Arabidopsis thaliana: one gene and its partners. The protein of the gene in region 2 interacts with the protein of the main gene of each other region in a pairwise test. Each region holds a gene or a part of one and is shown on either strand. Other genes may lie near its edges.

Region 1 (3,661 bases), on a different chromosome or scaffold from region 2:
ATAGGTGTCTTAAAGCTCTGTTCTAGCCAAAGCGCTGCGTTTTGGAGCGTTTCTGATCGTCTGACTAATCATTTGTTCGAATGTCAAATCGACGACTTGTGGAGTCAAAAAAACAAAGCTTCAAGAGTCAAGACGAGAGTTTTCGCATCAAACGAAAGAAAAGTCTCATTTTCCCCATTTTTGATGGGGAATTTACTAAGTCCGGTTTAAATTTGGACATGTCTTCGGTATCTCAATTCCGAGCTCGAAATGAACTTGGTGTCGTCGGCAATGTTTGCAAGTTAAAACATGTTCGACACTCCTGACCTTTTGCGTGTATTAGCATTATGATGTAATCGACATCCTTTTCTTAGCCACCAACCTTGTAGAGTTCTAGTCTTTAGAGAACTGATCATTTTCAGTAGCTGAGACGTGAAAACCTTCTATATTTGAGCTCTGCGATGGCTTTCTTTTGGTCGTAAAGCCAAAGCAACATTGATGCAACTGCTTCCGGTAGCCATCACCGATGCAGGATAAGACTTTTGGTAATTGAATAGAATTGCTCAGACAAAGGTAGGAAATAAACTCTAGTTCTCATTTCTCTTCAAAGTTTACATTTTTTTTTTTTTATGTTTTTACATTTTTGTGATAGCAAGTTTGAGAATGAACATCATAAAGATACAAAGTTACAGATTTTTGTTGTGGAAGCAAATACTAAAAATTACAAAGGTACAGTGGTGGCTAAAGATACACAGACCGAACTGCTCTGACTTCTCTGACTAGTTAACAACATATCTCTTCAGCGAGGCTGGTGGATGTTTCTCGGAGCAGCAGCAACCCTCTGGTTTCCCCATTTCGCTGGCTTTTCCGCATACTTAGCTGGTTCCACAATCGATCTCGGGCTCCTGTTTCCACTTGATTTCTTAACCATCTCACCATTCTTTCCAAAGCCTGATGATATATATAAACAACAATTAGCCTCCACAAATCTACTGATCTTGGATGGTTCTATGTATCAGGGGAATGAAACCGACTTACCAAATTCGGAAGGTGCTTGGTAATACATTCTTCCATCGAATCCTTGATCAAACTCAGCAGCATCAGTGTCAAAGAAATCTTCCATATCATCAAAATCAAATGATTCTGGAAGAAGATCAGCTACATCGATATGACCTCCACCATTCTCATTCTCTCCGTTGTCATAGAAACCATCCGCGCCTTGCTGCTGCTGACTGATCCAGTAATCAGGGTACCAAGTCGAAGTTGTCACCAATTGCCACCACTCCGGTGAGAAATCTTCCACTTGTCGTACAGCTGCCGGAATAAAAAGAGGTGCGTCGGGGTTTAGAGTAGATCGTCTTCCTGATACCATCGCCATTCTCAAAACTCTAGATCTGCACACACAAACAAACAAGCTCAGTTCAAATTCAAATTCAAATCTAACAACTCAATCACAACATAGCTTAATCCTTAGATCAATAGATCTGTACGATCAGTAAACATAGCAACAATAAGTTTCCGATTAGATCACTTGAAGTAGGACAAGTACAAGTTTGAAATCGAGAGAACTGAAGATAAATCAAGTTTTAAGATAGATCAACAACCATCACAGAGATCTAATACCATGGAAACCAATCAAATCCTTCAAAATCCACGAACTTCAAATATAGAAATTGATCGAGTAGAGAAGAAGACAACATCAGATCTTTACCTTGGCCGAGGAAAATATCTGCTGCAACTTGCTCAAGTTGATCAAGTTGATAAATATGTCTTCTTATTTTTTTAAAAGCTAAACGGATTAGGATCATTCACCAGAACCTACGTTGCGAGAAGATGAGAAGAAGAAGGACTAATATATAAAGTAAGGTTCGGTGACGAAGCTGGGGTTCGTAACGTCGAGGCAGGATTAAAGGTGAGACACAAGTGGGTAGGTCTGGACCCATAGCTAACATGGTTCTGAGTAATCAACCGTCCACGTGTAGACGCGTTACTGTTGGCTTTTATTGACTTTCTTTTTCGTTCCAATCCTGTTGGCTACTCACACTAAAAAGTTAAATTATTATTCTTTCTATAAAATATCTTAAATTTGGTCGGAAAGAGGATAAGGTAGGAGGAAACTAATCCAATATAAGCCCATTTATGACCGTATGGGCCTAACCCACTCATGATTTTGTTTTACATCATCATTTTGGGCCTAATCCTAGAATCTACTTTTGGTACTTACGTTTTCGGTATTGTATCGTGTAAGTACCAAAAGTAGATTCTAGGATTTACGTAATGTCTGAGATGTGCATTTTTATAGGACATCAAGTTTGAAAAGCTAACCAATGACAATGAAGAACCAAATTCTAAGGTAATCTATACAAGGACACCAAGATCATTAAGGTGTCGAACAACTAGGATTATCGAAATGAACATACATAATTTTCTGCTTCATTGTTATGTTGCAAAACGGAATGACTGATCATATTTTCTTCTTTGCATCAACCACTTACGGTCAGTTTTAGAATAGCAGTGGCAAAACTAGTAGATGAAGTAGCTCAAAGAGAACGATGTGTAATTGGCGGGAAGGAAAATGTTGTAGTGAAGTCCAGGCCATTGCTACTTTCACAATGTGATTCAGCAAGCCTTTTCAAGAGATTGGAAACCTTAAAATGTATATATGTACATGAATATCTCCTCTTTTTTAGTATACATTGGAAGTAGGTAAGTGGGGTTTAGAATGTAGACACTTTTACTTTATCTATTGTGTACATCTATTTATCATATGTTGTAATGTGTCTTAAGTCAATCGACTCGATAAAACAAAATGAATTTCTATATTCTAAGGAAATTTGAAGTAAGATACAAAAAGAAATTAAGCATCACTAGATTTCATACAGAACATTAGAAAAAACAACAGAATAAACAACCAATCAATAATCTTTGTTCTCCAATTAATTAAGTTCTATTAAACAAAAAAAAAACAGAAATAATATCGCTGCAAAAGGCAGAAACCGCGTGAATCTTGTTTTAATTTAACCTTTTTTATTGGTAGTTTCATTTTAATTCATCGTATTGAACGCTAGCCTAAAGTTATGGATAAAAACAAGAAAAATCAAATAACTGCAAAACGCGTTATACTTAAAACACTCTCCTCTTTTCCTTGTCCTTCTCTATCGCTTCTATAAACTTTTTCGATCTAAGGTTCGTGATCTCCTTCTTCTCTACGAAGTTTACACTTTTTCTTCAAAGGAAACAATGAGCCAGTACAATCAACCTCCCGTTGGTGTTCCTCCTCCTCAAGGTCCTCTTTCCTTCTATTTTCGATTACTTTTAGAAGTTTCGGTTTTTAGATTTGTAATTTTTTCTTAGATCTGCTTAATTTGGTACTGATTATTGTTTTTGTACGACGGATCTGAATTTTGTTTGTGCTGAAATTGTATCAATAGGTTATCCACCGGAGGGATATCCAAAAGATGCTTATCCACCACAAGGATATCCTCCTCAGGGATATCCTCAGCAAGGCTATCCACCTCAGGGATATCCTCAACAAGGTTATCCTCAGCAAGGATATCCTCCACCGTACGCGCCTCAATATCCTCCACCACCGCAGCATCAGCAACAACAGAGCAGTCCTGGCTTTCTAGAAGGATGGTTAGTCAATAAACACACTCCATTATATTTAATCTGTTTTTACTAA
Region 2 (6,223 bases):
TAACAAGAAACCCTAATTTGAACCCTCTTTTGGTTTCAAGTGTTATTGGATTTTTATGTCGTGATTGTGAGATTGTTGAGTGTTGCCATCAGTTGAAATATCTAGAGATTTTGATAATAGTTAAACCTTTCATACACTCGAATCTTTTAAATATTTTCGAATTAGTTCACAAATATCATCAGACTCAATAAAAGATGTGTTGCTGGCTTTGCTGCATGTCAAATAGATACAAAAAAAAACAAGTAGACTATATAGTTCATGACGCAATGTACTGGAAATCAAAATTCATGTACGAATATTCTAAATCCTTGGCGTAGATGAAGACTTTCTTTTTTTTGGTAAGTAATTTCTCATTCTCAAATAGTTGCAGAAAAAGTAGTCCAAAAACCAGATCAATAACTGAAACCAAAAACAATGGTAAGATTTCAACCAAACAAGATGTGTATCATGTTTCCTTAGACCTCTACTAAGATTTCTATTCGACTAGTCCCAATCAATCTAGAAGCAAAGTGTATAAAAAGTTTAAAATGTATTTCTTTCTCATTCAAACATTGTCTGCTGAGAATGAGACCCATTCATCCATTTTTACCAGGACACCTTTTTACCATAAAATAGAGCTTGAAAAACTGGTAAAAAAAATGACTAGAAGCAACAACCACCAACAGTCAAAAGGCCAAAGAGGGGGATCACCAGCATTGGCCTTATTGGTAATCAAATTCATCTTCCGTGAACACTAGATCGAACAAGCTAGAACACGCAACTAAATCAAAAGAACAAAGCAGATAGGTTTTTCCTTTGTGGTTTAAAAACGAAGGTTTAAAATAACACAAACGCAGTTATGTGGAGGAATCCAAATTCCCAGGGAGAAAACGAATAGCAAAGAAACAACTCCAATTGTATGGGAGAGACAAAAGCCAAAGATCAAATGATAAAAAGCAATTTAAGAGAGGTTCAAGGAAGCGAGCTGCTCGGTTGCACCACCAGCAGCGACACTCCTGAGAACATCCATAGCCTCTGCAACTTTGGCCTTGAGAGCTTCTGGTGACTCCAACAGATGGAGCACTTCAGTCTGGTCCATCTCCAAAAGCATCCCAGTCACTTTGGCTGCAGACTCTGCCTCAACCTGCTCCACCAACGGGTACAGCACCTCACCCAGCATCTGTACAAACACACCCAAAGGGTCACATTATTATAATCCAAGCAAAACCAGTCTCTCTATTTGGTTTTTAAGAGATTCTCTCACCGTCCTCTGTTGCTCTGGAGTAGCATTAGACAGATTTGAAGCCAAAGCTCCAATAGTCAATGGCATGTTGTTGCCCATATCATATGGAGGCACATCACCACTACCACCACGCCCTTGGGGATACCGGAACATCCGACCCCTTGGATGCATCTAACCACCATCCAAACAGAAAAACCATACGATCAACTATTAAAAGAGAGCCAAGCAAGCAAAGCAGCCTTTATTGCAATTAAATAAGGAAAAGAGAAGAACCTGTTGCTGCATCATGGGATTTTGCTGCTGGGAGTGTTGGATTCCCCCAGGACGTCTTCCTCCTCCAGGACGCTGCTGCTGTGGCTGAACCATAGGCATGAAGAAACTGGGTACAGGACCCCCACCAGGTCTCATTCCAGGAACAAGCTGCTGTTGGTATCCATACCCAGGCTGTGGCATTGCATAAGTACAGGTTAATATTATCCCAGCAGTTTCAAAATAGATTTGGAAAGGCTCAAGTATGAGTATAGCAACTATAGAGCTAAAGAATTTAAAAACTTTTCATGTGACTTAAAAGCATCTGTCAGCTTGTAATTCATTATACCCAAGGTAGAAAATAAACATGTGCATATCTTTGTGTAAAATCGTACACGGCTACTTAAAGTAGAGTAACATGAAGATTACCTGGGGAGGAATCATGGCAGGAGGGGCCTGACCATAGAACATTTGTTGTCCAATACCAGGACCACCCGGGGGATACACTGGCATGCGGGGACCAACAGACGGCTGCATTGCAACTGGCCTCACTTGGGAAAACTGAGCCTATTCACATCAATGCAAATACTCAGCAGCAGGAGAAAAAAGAGATTTTTCTGTGATACAAAAATACTAGGACATATGTTGTTTATGCTTTATATATTGTTGCACTTGATTATAAAGAAGAATCAGCATCAGTATTGATAATTATACGCAGTGGGACATTCTAAGACTTGTACATGATGGGTCCAATTGTTTAGAGTTGAAACTCCAACAGGCAAAGTAGGAGTAGTAAGTGTATCACAAGACGAGGTGATTCCAAGAGAAGCAAACCTGTAGTCTGACCCTTCTGTCTTCCTTCCGCTGTGCAATAGCCACATAGAGTGGCTTGCTTTCGATCATTTTACCGCTCAACTGTGACATCTGTACAGTATTCCACTGTTACTAACAATCAAAGTCCTCATAAATACAATCAACAAGACGATACAACTGACTTACAGCTTCAGTTGCTTCTTCGGGAGTTGCGAAAGCAACAAAACCTGAGCCTTTGCTTGTTCCATTAGGATCCCGCATCACCTGTAATATTTAATAAAAGAACTTCTTAAATAATGAACTAGGAGAGTCAACTCACTACAAATAAAGAGAGAGAGAGAGGGACATTGAACCTTGCTAGATGTAACGGTACCAAAAGGAGAAAAGATCTCTTTAAGTTTCTCATCTGAAATGCTAGGATCCAAATTCTTAACATACAAGTTTGAACTTTGAAACTTGTCTGCAGCTTCCTTCAAATTCTGTTCATAACGGACCCTTAATTCTGTTTCCCTCTCTGACTTCTTCTGGGCTCTACCAACATACCACTCCTTATCATCAAATTTGTGCCCATTGAGAGACTCCACAGCCCTAGCAGCATCATCAGCATTTTCAAAGTTGACAAACCCAAAGCCCTTGGACTTCCCTTCTCCATCTTTCATCACGACAGCACTTGTTATCTTTCCATACTCGCCAAAAGCATTCTTCAAGTCATCATCGGTAGTACTTTCCGCGAGATTCTTCACATACACATTGGTGAATTTCGTTTTGTTAGCAGTGGAGTCTCTTTCTTGTCTCCTCAGGAAAGGACCCACATACACTTGCTTGTCATTGAGCAACATGCCGTTCAGTTTCTCTATAGCTTTCTGGGCAGATTCTTCATTGGCGTATTGCACAAACCCATAGCCTTTTGACTGGCCTGAAGAATCGACAGCTACCTTGCACGACACAATGTTTCCAAACGATGAAAAAGTATCATGCAGTGCTTTGTGGTCGATGGACTCGTCCAAATTCTGCATATTATAGCCAGGTTTAGCATCAGAAAGAGAGAAAGAACACCCAATAAAAAAACTTACATAACTAAAGAAATCAACTACTTTTGCCAGACTTTTCAATGAATAATACAAGATACAAATTTTTTCGCAACAATCATCTCGTCTTACAGCAACTCAAATGTCAGAAGGATAGAGACAAGCGTACCTTAATAAAAATGTTGCCAGCGCCACTTCGGCGAACACTAGGATCACGATGAGAATACATAACCCTAATAGGTTTTCCATAAAGAGGTATGTAATTCAGTTCTTGGATCGCTCTTGCAGCTGCAACAAAGACACGAGATAAAGTACCATTAGAAGACAGAAGTAGCATTAAAAAGATTGATTAAGCAGGGGATAAGCTTTCCAACAGCACCAACCACATTGCATACATACAAACACCATAAAGTATCAACATTTAAAACACACCTCATTCAAATCCAGTACTGGTACTATCGAGCAAACCCTAAAAATTGGAAATTGTAAGAAGAAGTCCAAATAAAATTAAGGAGACTAACCGTCTTGGGGATTGGTGAAGTTAACGTATCCATAGCCAAGAGATCGGCGAGTGACCAAATCCCTACAGACACGAACGGTGACCACAGTACCCATTTGGCCAAACGCATCGAAAAGCTGCGAGTCCGTCACATTGAAATCGAGATCCCCCACATAAAGCGACGTGTTACCAAACTGGGTCGCCGTTGCTCCACCTGACGTCGCCGGAGCAGAAGTGACCGCCGCGGTCGAACCATTCGGAGTCTGACCCTGAAGTTGAACCTGCGCCATTATCTTTTTTTGGATTTTCGAAACTTTTTTGACTTTTTTTGGGGTTTTAGTTACTCTTCCCTCCCCTCTCGTTATTAGACTGAAACCAAATCGAAAACCCTAGAATTTGAAAGAAGAAAAAGAAATCGAATCGAATGACAAAATCAACAAAACTAAAGCCAAAGTTTTTATCTTTTCGTTTTTTTTGTGTTTTTATGGGTATATCAGAGGAGAGGGAAGATGAAATAGGGTAAGAAATTGCCGGCGGCGAAGCCTGCGACGGCGAGTGAGATATTTGGGGGCCGAGAGATTCTAGGCGAAACAAGCACAATTACGATAGATGAAAAAGAAGCATTACGGTTTCTCCTTTTCTTTGCTTTTATATTATTAACCCAACAAAAAAAAGAAACCTTTAATTCCCCTAGAAGAACCCTAGGAGTGTGAGATTGATCTCAGCCGTTGGATCGAGTCTGAAGTAAATCGTAGGATTGATTTTAGAGTTGCTGGTGAATTGATAAGGTCGTCTTCCTTCTCGTCACTTTCGGAAAAGTCAAACAGATACGCGCGTGTTTGACACTTTCGAATCTAATTAGTAACCAAGTTTGTTAAAATTTTGTACAGTGATGATATTTTCTTTGATTTATCTTAACATTTCTTAACTCTGATTAGCAATATTCTCACTGGATCTTGATGAATTTTGATTTTCCTAAAGTAAAAGTTGTTAATATTAATATTTACCGCACGATTTTATATGGTATGCAAAAAGTATCTTAATTAAATAACCAATATGTTAAGATTTGACTTATCAAAACAATTCAACTTAATACACGATTGGCCTTCCAGTAGAATTGTGACACGAAAGAACATAAGATGAGAGATGAGATTTTGCAATACGCAATCATTTCAAAAAGCATTACAATAGAAAGTAGAAACACACAAGGCATATATATATACGAAGCGTCATTACTCATTTCTTAAGATCCTTTGGATATTATACACAAACAAAAGAGGATCAACGGGATACACATTGACTAGTAAATATTTCCAAGCCTAAGTTAATACGACTCAGTGCACAGTTTCTTTCTAAGCTTCTTGTTGGATTGCACGTCTGAGCCTTAAGTCCATTATCAACATCTCCCTAAAGTCCTATCAAGATACCATCTCCCGCATCCTCACTACTTTGGTTTTGCCAAAGCAGCTTCCCCAAAGTTATGGAGTCTCCGACCAATGAGATAACGGTCATCACGGATAGAGTTGTGAAGGTTTCTAAACCAGAAGCAGAAGAGGCTCACTGAGAGACAACCTATCCATGCGAATCTGTAGACCGCTGAGTTCACTACTAGCGGATATCCGAGCATTGGGAACACTCCTCTCGCCAACACATAAGGCACACATAAAGCCGTTAGGAGTTTCATCACAATCGGGAACACAATCTCTCTAAGTACCCATAACCCTTGAAGCATATGGGTCTGAGATGAACCTGATATGGACATCTATCTAATGGGGTTATAACATTCCTCTTATTTTTATTCTGTTGGAAAATAAAAAACCAAAAACAGTATCAACGAGTATGTCTACAATCACACATCGGCCAAATAGATCTTCAACGCCAATTCCTTAAGGCTTACATGCACTAACATAAGAGACAAAAGACAAGAATTTGCAGTAAGCGAAGGTATTCTAGAAGCATTATCATAGAAACACACAAGGCATATGGACAAACGAAGCATTATTCTAAAGATCTTTTAGTTTCGTACACAAAAACAAAAAAAAGAGAATCATCAACGGATATAATAATTTACACATCGACTAATAATAAATCTTTCAAAGCCATCTCTTAACGGCTTAAGTACACAAAATGTTAAACGCCTCAGTGCACAGTTTCTTTCTAAGCTTCTTGTTGGATTGCACGTCTGAGCCTAAGTCCATTATCAACATCTCCCTCTCGTCCTATCAAGACACCATCTCCTGCATCCTCACTACTTTGGTTTTGGTTTTGATTAGCTAAAGCAGCTTCCCCAAAGTTATGCAGTCTCCGACCAATGAGATAACGGTCATCACGGATAGAGTTGTGAAGGTTTCTAAACCAGACATGGCATCTTTTTGCACAGAAGCAGAAGAGGCTCACTGAAAGACAACCTAT
Region 3 (5,782 bases), on a different chromosome or scaffold from region 2:
TTTCAGTGATAGTGGTTTCACTTGCCTGCAAATCTTAGACTATATCTACAGATTTTACCAGGTATAACCATCATATTCGAATGGCCAATTTCTCGTTTCAGTTCCTTTTAGTTGCTATGAAAAGGAGAGTCTTTAGAATCAATTTCTTCGTCTTAGTTAGGAACTTATGAGTGATTAGTATTTATACTATCTCTGTTGACTCACTAGGCCCATGTTACCGTTTAGTTCACAATAAGAAGATCTCTTGTGTCTATTGATTCTGCAGGAGAACTTGCCGGATCATGAAATAGAAGTTGCAATTCACACAGACTCGAGGCACGCTGACCGTCTCAGAACAGTGTATTGCAGCAAAGAGACATCAGATGAAGGATGCTTGGTTTTCCCAAGAATAGAGTTATTAGGAAGCAGGAAAAGTTTCGAAATGCTTAAGCGAGTGAATGGAGAGAACAACAGTAATGTTTATGAGCTTATGATTAGAGCTTGATTTCTCTTTTACAATACATAACTGGAAACAAGCTTTTTAAAGTACAAAATTTTACTTTTTGACTCATGAATTTGTAACTTAGTGATGCACATTAAATCTAAGAGAATTACAAATATAAGCATTTCCAGAAGAAAGGAGTATAACATATAGAGTAAAACTGTAAAAAAAAAAAAGCACCGAGAATCAACAAAACATCGTATAGATCCCGACAAAAAGATAGAAAGAGGTCTGATCGATCCTCTGATGCTACAAAAAGTATTAACTGAACAAACCTAAACATTTTATGCATACGCCTTCGTTCCTTCCTTCTTGCGGATCTCTTTCCTAACACTTTTTTTTTTCCTTCTTCATTTTCAGCTAGTCTCTTTCTCCTCTCTTCCCATGTACAGATCAGATACAACAAATGAATAGCGTGGTCACCTTTCCTTTTTTTTGTTTTCTTTTCCGGTCTTGTATCCTATATAAGTACCTGGCTTTTGTCTGTCAGTATATGATGACTCTAAGGAGACCGGCCTGTGGTTCGGAATAGTCAAGACCTTCTTCTTCGAGTAGGTAGCGCTGTACAGCAACTGGGAGTCTAGCCGGAGTGCGGGAACCCCTTGTGTGGTGGCCTGTCCCTACACATATGTAAATCTGAAGCCTCTCTTGCGTTGCTCGAGCTGTGCTCCTCAACACACTCAGTTCGTGCTTCAACACCTGAAGTGCTTCACTCACATGTAACCCATGCAAGTCTATCATTCTCTCATTCCCTCTACTGTTTCCTTGACCCACTGGGTTCCTGTTTCATTTTTTACTCATAGGCAGGTTAGAACAGAGATACTGAGAACAGGAGTTTTGTTTTTCATTTATGGAGATATCAGTGTGTGTTTCGGATAAAAGATCATGTTACAAGGAGATGCAGTGCAGGTAAAGAAGTCAAACCTCTGGCGGTAAATGGCTTCTTGAGCTTTCCCATGAGCAGCCTTCATTTGCATATTATGCAACTGTCCCTTAACACTTAGCTCTTTGGCTAAGGCCTTATTCCCAACAAGGTATGCTTGTCGTGCCTACGCTCAACCAGAAGCAACATAGAATATTGAGCGTACATGACTAAGACAGAAAGATAACAGGTTAATAAGATGACGTCGAAGTAATAAAACCGGTGAAAACCCCATCATTGACAAAAAGCTTTATAAACTATCATCATAAATTGCACGCAAGATTCCAAATACTTATGATTCACTACGCCATACACCCGAAGTATTTTCCAAAAATCAATCTGGACAATAGACCTCAAGGTTAGGCCACATTACACGGCCTTAACATTAATAGACAGGTATGTACCAAATGGAACTTCCCAGTTGCAAAAAACAACAGGTCTGCAGAACAACTAGAGGCCACATAAATGAGTAAAATGTCATTTCCAAGTATATTATACCTGTTCAAAGTACACATTCCGCAAACGTGCATAGTCACGTGCTTCCTCGCGTAACTCAGAATACATATTGCCTGTTCATCCCCAGATAAAAGAGAGAGCCAGAAATGCAACATCGTCGAATAAGATAACATATGTTCAATACAGATGTATAACAAGACTCATATAGTTATTTGTCTATGCAATAAAGTTTGTTAAAAGAAGAAACTTACCAACAGCATCCCCGGTCTCCACCCAAACAGGAGCAGGTCGAGTTTGGGCTCGACTTTGCAGCTTATCAGAATATATACTCCTCCCACGGCCACTTTTGTAAGCACCAGAATTCCTGCTAGAGCCAATAGATGAGTCTGCTGAATCATTTCGTTCATATTTCCACATACCAGAATCCTGAGATGCTAACTTCCTGACAGCAGAAACATAATCGATTGCACCAGGCTGAGAAACCGATGGTCCCGACTTGAAGAAGAACATGTTATCCTTTTCAGGAGATTGGTAATGATTTCCAGTTTGTTGCAAATCATCCCCACCAAACTGGGCAGGAATACCATGGCTATTTGAGATGCTTAGTGCAGGAAAATCCATTGGAGTTAGACTAGGAGGAGCATAAGTCTTAGGGCTTATGTTTTGATTCAAGCCACCATCCACTTGTAGCTATACAGAGAAGAAAATAAACATAGAATTTAATAACATAACATCAATAAAAGCTATGCCATATATTGAATAGGAGAATACCTCAAGCTGAGTAAGCATCTCAATTGTCAACTGCAAATCACACCCATTAGCAAAATAAACTTCTGCTAGACTCTCAGCGGCGAATCCGGGGAACTGAGAAGCGAGAAAATCCACAGGGTTCACCTCCATATCCCCTGGACTCTCAGTAATCATGTCGTTAACAAAGCCATGTCGAGATTTCCCACTAAAAGGGTTTCTTTCCCTGTCATTCCCAAGAAGCTGCTCAGCATTCATGATTTGCTTATCCCAAGGCTTTGGACTCAGTTGCATGAAACTCTGTCGCTGAGGATCTTCCCCAAATGAAGAAATGGGATATCTACTCTTATCAGCCAAGCTATTACCATTAGCATTATGTGAAGCTAATCCAGTTTGATCTGAAAAGCCATATCCTCCACTAGCAGAAGGAAACTTCTCAGCTTCATTACCGTCAAACAACGACAAGTTAGCTAGTGACAAACTACCAGATCCATAAGAATTGTCATCTTGAGTCATCAACCCAAAATCTGGAGTTATATCATCAGGAAGTTGATGACTCCAGAACTGACGTGCTTCTTCATCTGAATGATGTGACGCAGATGATTCTGTCCTGTCCAAAACCGCTTTCCCAACAGAACTAGAAGAAGCTAAAAGTCTTGTATCCAAAGTACTTGTACCTCCAGATGAAGGAGAACGTAGAGTAAACGGAACAAACTCAGCAGCATGAGGGTTTAAAGTTGTTGGCTTGATACTAGTACCACTTAGCTTTGGTTCACTTGCTTTCTTTGTTAAACTCATTCTTACAAGACTAGTAAAAATAACTGCTTTTAAACCAAAATCTGCAAAAAAAAGAGTTTGGCTTTTCTAAGTCAAATTACTCAAAGAAGAAACCTGCAAAATACTTTGCTTTAATCAAACAAATTACTCAGAGAAGAAAGGTAACACACCTGACGGTAATAGAGATACACACGTGCGTGGACTTCTCAATTCATATTACCAAAACCTAAACAAGAAAAAGAGATACATTTTCAGTGGCTACAAACTCATAAGTCAAAACCCATTGCAGCTTTTTTATAGTTCTTACCAGACAAACACATAAAGACTTAAAATTTGAAACACAACTACTAAATTCTAGAATAAGGGTATCTTTAAATGACTGAAATAAAAGAAAACCCTTTATTAAAAACAAGATTTTTAAGTAAATCCAAGATAGAAAAAAACAGATTTGTGATTTATTAAACCACACAAAAAAGAAGAACCCAAATCAAGATGAGATTCGTAGAGATAAGAATATCTCTGAAAGAAAGAGCAAACCTTTAAGGAAATGGATCCATGGAAGATAACAAGATCAGAGGTTAAAAGAAAAAGGTAAAGGCTGCTGTTGAAAACAAGATAAAGAGAGAGAAAGATGAGAAATTTTGCAGTTTGGGGTAATCGGAGAGCTTAAGCTGTTACCTCCTAGGGATTCGAGTTTTGGGGTAAGCGTCGTCTTCTTCTACTCTCTCTATAAGAGTAATTGTTTGGGGGTGTTGTTTGGCTAAAGAGGTAACACGAGCACCACAAGATTTATTTAACAAGACACCAAACCTTGCGCCTCTCGTTTTGACCTTTTTTTTTTTTAGTGACTCCATCTATCTACAACATTTATTTATTAACTACTAATGACACTTAATCCTTATCACTAAGGGTTTTAATTGTAAATTTTTGGGCTTTGATTACTTGCTTTTATTAGGTTAACTATTTCCTTTCAACTAATTTTTTTTTTTAATAAGATTTCTCTATATATTTTGAATATCCTGAATTAGCTTATTATTTTAAAAATCTAATTAAAGTTTATACAATTATATTTATATTTAGGAAAAATAATCTTCAAACTGATTGTTATTGTTAATTTGCTTTGAATTTAAGTCATCTAGGGAAAAAAGTATACTTATTGTTGATATAGATAAAATAAATATAAAAATTTAATAATTTATTACATTTATACAGCATTCTGAAACTCAAATATACCCAAACGGTTTCATATGTAATCTTGAAAACGAGAGTGCTCCGAGGAGCTCATAATTTCATTGGAATCACCAAGAATAATCTAGGGGTAGCTGCCGTACCATACATGATTTGATTTTATTGCAATTCCAATCTCCATAATAACCAACCAAGTGATCATCTACTATGTTTTAAAGAGCGAAATAACTTCAACGTTGTCCGCCCAACAAACTGGTGTATATATATATGATTTACAAACATTTATTTTATATTTCTTGTACATGACTCTTTTGTACAAAGTATTTTTGAATTATGTAAAGGAAATTAATCTAAAATACCAGAGAACTAGGATACTTATAACATCACCTTTCTTTCCTTCAAATTTTTGGAAGAATGGTCATAACTTAAGATAAGAATTGCGTTCATAGAATATGAATGCTTAATAATTCATATGAGAAAATGATGTATTTCAAATGCCATCGTTTTGCTTTGCCTTGGATTCCTTGTAAACGAGAGAATCTGAATAAGCGATGTTCACACGTCTTTTGCCTTTACGGTGATGCCTAAACTTATTTATATCAACAAACTTCTTTCCTTCTTTGTTGTTATTGCCATCATGCTTCCTAATATCAACTTCTTGGATAGACTCTAAGACCTTAACCACCTCACACATTGTAGGTCTATACTTAGGATGTTGGCTTAGACACTTGTATGCTAGGGAAGCAGCTACCTGAGCCGCTTCTGTTTTGTGCTGGTTCGCGAGCCTCGGGTCAATTATCCTCTCTAACTTTCTTTGGTCCCTTAACATAGGCCGCGCCCATTCCACTAGGCTTTGTTCCCTCCGTGTTCGGGTATTGTCCATTGACCGTTTTCCGGTTATCAGCTCTAACAAAACTACTCCAAAACTGTATACATCATTCATCGTCGTCAAATGACCTACAACACATGTAAACCATTAAAGACATATCTCAAAGAATATCGCTTCACGGTAAAAGAAATAAATTCCTTACAAAAATGTTACCAGTCATGATATATTCGGGCGCAGCATAACCTTGTGTTCCCATCACTCGGGTAGTTACATGCGTATGTTCGCCTTCAGGTCCATCTTTGGCTAGACCGAAGTCAGATAATTTGGCGTTATAGTCCTGAAATATCAAAGAGTCAGTTGAGAAATACCACTTTAATTTGAT

The links.
Region 1: the proteins of PAB2 (region 2) and ERD15 interact in a two-hybrid assay, tested with the Arabidopsis thaliana proteins (2 studies listed by BioGRID).
Region 3: the proteins of PAB2 (region 2) and CID7 interact in a two-hybrid assay, tested with the Arabidopsis thaliana proteins (2 studies listed by BioGRID).

Annotation. Positions count from the first base shown.
Region 1 is NC_003071.7:17,267,432-17,271,092, reverse strand, and holds ERD15 (dehydration-induced protein (ERD15)), read right to left. Parts: upstream 1,936-3,661; 5' UTR 1,691-1,935; exon of another isoform or gene 1,374-1,690; 5' UTR 1,358-1,373; coding exon 1,018-1,357; coding exon of another isoform or gene 995-1,017; exon of another isoform or gene 931-994; coding exon 779-930; 3' UTR 551-778; downstream 1-550. Other genes in the region: WIH2 (proline-rich family protein), read left to right, coding at 3,220-3,265, 3,411-3,615. UniProt on the Arabidopsis thaliana protein: Central component of stress responses that interacts with poly(A)-binding proteins. Negative regulator of abscisic acid (ABA) responses, including resistance to drought and freezing as well as stomatal closure regulation.
Region 2 is NC_003075.7:16,334,610-16,340,832, reverse strand, and holds PAB2 (poly(A) binding protein 2), read right to left. Parts: upstream 4,543-6,223; 5' UTR 4,102-4,542; coding exon 3,834-4,101; intron 3,601-3,833; coding exon 3,482-3,600; intron 3,295-3,481; coding exon 2,638-3,294; intron 2,549-2,637; coding exon 2,471-2,548; intron 2,396-2,470; coding exon 2,306-2,395; intron 2,039-2,305; coding exon 1,901-2,038; intron 1,667-1,900; coding exon 1,496-1,666; intron 1,394-1,495; coding exon 1,244-1,393; intron 1,160-1,243; coding exon 941-1,159; 3' UTR 519-940; downstream 1-518. Other genes in the region: CER9 (RING/U-box superfamily protein), read right to left, coding at 5,969-6,223. UniProt on the Arabidopsis thaliana protein: Binds the poly(A) tail of mRNA. Appears to be an important mediator of the multiple roles of the poly(A) tail in mRNA biogenesis, stability and translation. In the cytoplasm, affects both translation and mRNA decay.
Region 3 is NC_003071.7:11,187,176-11,192,957, forward strand, and holds CID7 (CTC-interacting domain 7), read right to left. Parts: upstream 4,223-5,782; 5' UTR 4,062-4,222; exon of another isoform or gene 3,921-4,061; intron 3,610-3,920; 5' UTR 3,554-3,609; intron 3,446-3,553; 5' UTR 3,405-3,445; coding exon 2,631-3,404; intron 2,550-2,630; coding exon 2,111-2,549; coding exon of another isoform or gene 2,076-2,110; exon of another isoform or gene 1,973-2,075; coding exon 1,902-1,972; coding exon of another isoform or gene 1,896-1,901; exon of another isoform or gene 1,531-1,895; coding exon 1,406-1,530; coding exon of another isoform or gene 1,330-1,405; exon of another isoform or gene 1,263-1,329; coding exon 968-1,262; 3' UTR 551-967; downstream 1-550. Other genes in the region: AT2G26270 (BRCT domain DNA repair protein), read left to right, coding at 1-61, 266-484; ARSK1 (root-specific kinase 1), read right to left, coding at 5,062-5,528, 5,614-5,737.